2 linked regions of the Cricetulus griseus genome follow. The protein of the gene in region 2 purifies or fractionates together with the protein of the main gene of each other region. This does not show direct contact. Links are inferred from orthologs where the notes say so. Each region holds a gene or a part of one and is shown on either strand. Other genes may lie near its edges.

Evidence for each region.
Region 1: the proteins of Tnks2 (region 2) and Rnf146 purify together in Homo sapiens (co-immunoprecipitation; 3 studies listed by BioGRID and IntAct, with this or other methods). This does not show direct contact. The link is inferred for Cricetulus griseus from reciprocal best matches to the Homo sapiens genes TNKS2 and RNF146.

What each region holds. Positions count from the first base shown.
Region 1 is NC_048595.1:247,887,238-247,890,264, forward strand, and holds the end of Rnf146 (E3 ubiquitin-protein ligase RNF146), read right to left. Parts: intron 2,160-3,027; coding exon 1,085-2,159; 3' UTR 711-1,084; downstream 1-710. UniProt on the Homo sapiens protein: E3 ubiquitin-protein ligase that specifically binds poly-ADP-ribosylated (PARsylated) proteins and mediates their ubiquitination and subsequent degradation. May regulate many important biological processes, such as cell survival and DNA damage response.
Region 2 is NC_048596.1:24,894,783-24,898,612, forward strand, and holds part of Tnks2 (poly [ADP-ribose] polymerase tankyrase-2), read right to left. Parts: intron 2,980-3,830; coding exon 2,882-2,979; intron 1,568-2,881; coding exon 1,493-1,567; intron 119-1,492; coding exon 13-118; intron 1-12. UniProt on the Homo sapiens protein: Poly-ADP-ribosyltransferase involved in various processes such as Wnt signaling pathway, telomere length and vesicle trafficking.

The sequences.
Region 1 (3,027 bases), on a different chromosome or scaffold from region 2:
TTCATTTGAAGTTGACTGCTTATATGCTTATTTGGTTTGGTTGATATTTTTCATATCTCAATTTGTTGGTTTTTCTTTTTTAACATTTGCTTAAATCACTTCTAGCAACTTCTACATTCCTACAGTAATTCTTATCCTAGAGCCAAAGATCAATTTTCAAACAGAAAATCTATTCTTGAGCTTATCTTTTGTAACATATTTATTAATTTAAATTTTAAGGCAGGGTCTTAAACTTATTATGCAGCCAAGGGTAGTCTTGAATTTCTAATCCCCCTTCCACCATCTCCCAAATGCTAGTATATACTATTACATCTGGCCATTTTGTTCTTTCTTAAGTTGATGTAATTTACAAAAACAAAATACCTCGGTGAATTTTTCTTATGAAGCAATCTCCAAACTCAAACAAGAAACAATTATTTTTGATAAACTCTAGTATTTATTAAATTATAAAGTTTTTTTAATCAAAAAGAAAAAATGCAGACTAAGAGAACCCTCCACGTACAAGGACAAGACAGCAAATCCTATGGAAAGGAACACCATGAAGTGTGTTACAGATTGTGAAAGAACTTAGCAGCTGCTGCTCTACATTTCTATCTCAGTGAGACCAACTATGAAGTAGTTGTTAGTCATCTATTTTTATATCCCAAATTCACATCTATTTTCCACATTAAGCTTCCTGCTCATAATGATATCAAATATCTCACAGGTGCCAAATTTTAGTAATGATTTTATACCAATCCATGCAGAAAAATAAAGTTGTGCAAGAGTCAGATGAGGACCATTAATGCACAAGTACACACTGGCCAAAAGAACAAAAGACTGAAAAAAAATACACTAGAAAGTAAACAGATGTCAAGAAAACTGTGTTATTACTGAACAGCTCTCAAATATTAACACCCCAATTCCTCACATTAAATAAATTTCAACAGAGATATGTTAGACATTTTAATTTCAGGTCTGTCCTTCCCATATCCCTTCCCACCCCAACTCCCACAATGCACTACTAAGGATGAGTATAATGTTATGTGGGCAGAAATTTACAGGTATCCATTTCACCCTTGAGTGTGGCACTGAAGACGTTTACTTAAACCTCTGTCACTGTGCACTGTCCATCAGGCCTTCTCGACCTGACATTGACACTCATGGTTCCAGCCCCGGCTGCTGATCGGTCAATCCCGGATCGGTCTGACCGGTCAGCTACTGTCTGGTTTGCATTTGAAACCAAAAGTCTCTGTTGGGCCAAGGAGTGCTGTGCAACCACCACAGGGGCGCCCTCACTATCACTGCTGGCATCCGATTCAGTCTCTTCAACAGAAGTGTCTGGCACTCTGCCAGAAGGTGGTGATTCATGGTCTTCTTCTCCTTCGCCTCTGTGACTCCTTTCAGCTATGCTGTCTCCACTGAGTTGTAAATGAGCAAAAGAGTCTTCCAGAGAAGTGCCTGCATCGGGGGATGGTGTTACAGGGCTGGTTAGCTGACCATCAACGGATGTGAGGGGCCTTGAGGAAGATGGCACTGGCAGCTGAACAGAAGCTCCAGTCTGCGCTGATACACTGTCCGCACCATCGGCAGAGCTCTCTCTTGCTAGATTTACAGTATTAGTGTCACAGTCCAGCCTAAGTCCAGCTACTCCCTTCTTTGGTATATCTATTATATCTCGCTTAATCTTCCTGCGACGTCCGTGTTCATTTCTCCTATACTGAACCATGTTTTCAAGATCAGCAACATACAGAAACCCAGCAATTAACATTTCCGTGTTCTTTTTACCTTTGGAAAAAGCATCTTCCAGCTCCCGACTAGTGCGCTCATCATACTGCCACCACCCGTTTCTTCCTTCATAATACCACGCATATTCACCATTTCCTCTACTTGCCGCCTTAAGTTCTTCTGGTGACAACAAGGTTGGCTTGTCAAGGAAGTCCTCAGGAATCTCTTGTCGACAAAGAGCACATCGCTTCCCAAGCCATGAAGCGCCTTTTACACAGAGATAACAGAAAACATGCTTACAGGGCAGACTGACTGGATGAACACATGTTTGCAGACAAATGGCACACTCGGGAACTGATAGAGAAGGTGCAGCATTGGAACAGGACTCGCTCGCCTTCTTATTTGTAGGAAGCATATTTATCGAGTGATCAATTTCACCACAGCCAGCCATCCTAGGAAAATGAGAAGAAAAAAGTAAAACCAGGTTTAAACTTCTCTGATACCTTTTTTTTTTCTTTTTTAACTTCTCTGATATCTTGATTCACTTTGAGTTCAGAAAATACCCCCAAAGTACCTATTCCATGCAAACCACAAGCTATAGGAGGAAGACATAAAAACGGAGACCAGCAAATTCAAAGCCAGCATGAGCTCCATATGCCCTATTTCAAACAAAAGATGGGAAAGTGAAAGCAGGAAAAACTCAATATATGTAAACACCCTCTTTTATTTGTAGCTGTAACTCATCACTTTTTATTTACAGGAACCAATGAAGAGTTATTAAGCAAAAAATAAAGCAAGGCATATATAGTTTATGTTAAATATTGTTTCTACCCAGCCACAGAATTTATAAGACAGAACTAAATGTAGCATTTAAAAACATGACACCTACTCCAAATTAACTTCAGTATGTAGTAGAAACATAGCTCGGTCCTTCAAATTGTGACTCTGACAACAGCAATTTGTAGCCTTTGTTTTAACTAGCAATTAGATTATGGTTCTAGATGTTTATGTAAGTCAGAAATTTAGCTCCTAAACTACCCTTTTGCCTCATTATATCCAAAACATCGATAAGTCATATTAATATCATATCCCATCTGCCAAATCCATGTACCACTACCCATTCTTTTTCAAGTCATCAAACATTGATTATTAATTCACTATATATACTTTTAATTCACCCATACTCCTTTCTTTACAAGGTTGATTTTAGTATAATCTAAAGTTTCTAAGGATGCCTCAAATGATCTGGCTGCCACTTTTCACACTATCTTCCTCTCCTACCAAAATTCACTCTAATCAGGCATCCAACAATCCTGTGTA
Region 2 (3,830 bases):
GTGAGAACTTACCATGAAATAACATCCTTTCATTTGCATGGTTGTGGTTTTCTTCAGAAACTTCTTTCCTCCGGTGCGTGTATCTTTCCCATAATTTTTTGTTACAAACCTTCTGAATCTAAACACAAAAAAAATAAAAGTCAGCACTAAGTCACCACTGAAATCCCCCAGACATGCTAAATTTTGTACAGACTTTATCAGACTCAAAATACATAAACAAGGCAGCTGGAGAGATGGCTCGGTGGTTAAGAGCAGTCACTGCTTTTCCAGAGGACCTGGGTTCAATTCCCAGCACCCACATGGCAGCTCACAACTGTCTGTAATTTCAGTTCCAGGGGACCTGACATCCTAGGCAAAGCACCAATGCATATAAAATAAAAATTAATAAAAATAATACACAAACAAGATTTGAAATAGCCACCCACCACACATACCCCCACCTTCTTTCCTATCGTTTCCTTTCCCCTTGAGCTTCTACTGGAGTATTTCTATGGTCAAATGGACACTAAGTGCTTCAGCCTCTGTGATCCCTAGGAGCACACATCAGAGCTGCAGTTTTAGTATGGGGGGGGGGGAATCAAAGTACTGGTAACAGATGTAATCAAGGACAACACTTGGCACCAACTGACCTTATTCATGTATAAAATAGAACAAAAATAAAATCATTTTCGCATACACGCACGCACGCACGCACTCGCGCGCGCACACACACACACACACACACACAATTCAATGTTGTATTGAAACACCTTTAAGGAGGAGGAGGAAACAGCATGTTTTTCAATTTGAACACAGTAATTTATAAATCAGCTTCTCCTATTTCCTGCTTCACAAACATTATGTAAGTGCTCCCTTCTCTGAATAATCTAATTGTAGCAGACACAATCAAGCAAGTCAAGTAAACTTTAGTGCTCACTAGCCTAAAGGATGCATTCAGTTCAGGGCATACTGACACTGTTCTGTAAGTTTATTTTATTTTATTTTATTTATTATGTATACAACATTCTGCTTCCATGTATATCTGCACACCAGAAGAGGGCACCTGATCTCATAATGGATGGTTGTGAGCCACCATGTGGTTGCTGGGAATTGAATTCAGGACCTCTGGAAGAGCAATCAGTGCTCTTAACCTATGAGCCATTTCTCCAGCTCCCTTCTGTAAGTTTTTATAATTTTTATTTATTCATTTTTTTCAAGACAGGATTTCTCTGTGTAGCCTGGTTGTCATGGAACTTGCTCTGTAGGCCAGGCTGGCCTCAAATTAGAGATCAGCCTGCCTCTGCCTCCCAAGTGCTGACATTAAAAGGCTTGTGCCACTACTGACAGTCTAGAATTTTAAGTTTTGTAGGACAGTCTTCCCCCTCAATAGTTCCTGAAGCCATGTCAAAAAGCAAGGTGCTGGACAGATAGTATGTTCTTATCAAGACTACTTAAGGCTTTGGGTTGTGGAAAGTAACAGTCTTGGGAAACTTTATTTTCACTCATCTGTTACCTTGAGAATATTGTATCTGTTGAAGATGCCACCTGCATGACCTCCATCTCTGTGCTCTCGGACAGTACTTTGCATCTGATGAAAAGAATTTAAAACACAAATTAGTTTTGTCATTCTGATTTGTGGGAACATGGTTTTGATTCATTTGATCCTATTTTTTGAGAATTCAAGGTAGTTTTAATACTTTTCTTGAAAGGACATTAATTCTATAAACTCATGACTACATTTTTCTTCTTTCAAGACAGGTTTTCTCTGTGCAGGTCTGGCTGTCTTAGAACTCAATCTATAGACCAGGCTGGTTTCGAACTCAGACATCTGCCTGACTCTGCCTCTTGAGGGTTGGGATTACCATAAGTACTATGTTCTAGAGATGACTATTAAGCATCCTGAAAACATATTTATAGATGAAAAGTTACATAATGTAAACCAAGATAAAATGGAATGTAGAAATATGTTAAACATAAAAGCATGGTCTATTTGTGCTGATATTAAACTAATAAAGCACAATATATATTTTCTTGTGAGTATGATCTTTAGAACAAAATCTCACTGAATTTTGCATATGTGCTTAATTCAAACAGATGAGGCACATGTACATGAGAGTGTAATGACTCTTCAGTGAGGTGTGATGGCACACACCTTTAATCCAAGCACGAGGAGTCAGAGGAAGGTGGATCTCTGAGTTTGAGGCCAGCCTGGTCTAGAGAGTGAAAACCAGGACAGCTAAAGCTACATATTGTTTCAAAAGAATATGTAGCTACCTTGCTCCCCCTGCTCCCCCCCAAAATACATAGGAGGATAACTTTTCTAAGATTTCAGTGGATTGAAGAAATCTTTGAAAAGAAACCAGAATAAAAATTTCCCAGATAAATACTATCTACATGTTGAGTACTATCTGAGATTCCTCACTTTGTAATTGCCTTCATAAAGGGAGTGAATACTACCATTATTTTCAAATGACAGAGACCTTCTCCAACAGAATTTTGGTTTCTGGTTCCACATTAATGAAGCAGTTAGTGATCCAAGTATCTAAAACTAAGGTTAATTAAGAAATCCATTGAGCAGTGACTGCTCTTCCAGGACCCAGGTTCAATTCTGCAGCACCTATATGGCACCTTACAACTGTCTGTAACTCCAAGATCTGACACCTTTATATGAATACACATGCAGGTGAAGCATCCATGCAACATAAAAATAAAAATTAAAAAAGAAAGAAAAAAGGAGTGGGGGAAAAACCAAATGCATTGTAAATACTTCCAAATTCTCTAGTTGGTGAAAGAGGGACAAAAACCCAAACCAAAACAAACCAACAAAAAATGACAGCAACGGAATCAACCACATGAGTGGTTAGATCCATAATATCCATTTTCTTAAGCGTGATGAACATACCTCTTCCTCCACAGATTGAAACTCTTTATCATCCGGAGACAGATCTATGAGAATTGTTCCACTACCAGAGTTGTTTAGAGTTAAATATGGATTAAGACCTATGAAATAAAATTTAGAAGTAAAAATTGCCAATAAAACAATCCAATTCAACCAACCCCAAAACAATCACATGATTTATCCGACACTACCAATTCCCCAAAATCTTAATTTCATAAAAATTTGGATTTATAGGAATGCAAAGTGCAGACAGGGACATACTATAATTGTCAGAACTTACTAACATAGGCTTCATTTGGACTGCACTAGTTTTTCCTATCAATGCCCCTTTTCTTTTACTGGATAAAAATCATGGTATTTTTCAGTGTGCGTGTGCATGTGCCTATGTACACAGAGGCCAGAAGTCAGCATCAGAGTCTTCAGAGCCGAGTTAGAGATGATTGCCCAGCTTGTTATTGCTATGTGTGTTCTGAGATCTGAACTGTGGTTTTCATAATCCGGCAACAAGTACTCTTAACCACTACAGACTCATTTCATTTTGTGTGTATGTATGTTTGTCTGCATGTATGTATATGCACCATATGAATGCCTTCAGAGGCCCAAAAAGGGCCTGCTGGGGCTAGATTTATAGAGAGCTGCAAGCAAGTAGCTATGCGGGTACGGGACCCGAACCCTCATCTTCTACAAAATCATTACACCACTCTTACCTGCTGAGCCATCCCTCAAGTAACCCCCCCCCCATCCTGGAACTTGTTTTGGAGACCAGGCTGGCCTCAAACTCACCTGCTTCTGCCTCCTGAGCTCTGGGATAAAAGGCGTGGGCCAAAACATCCAGCTTAAGTGACTATTTTTTTGTTTTTAAAGACTTATTTATTTTTATGTGTGTTTTGCTTGTGTGTATGTCTGTGTAAGGGTGTCAGGTTCCCTGGAACAGTTGGGAGCTGCCATGTGG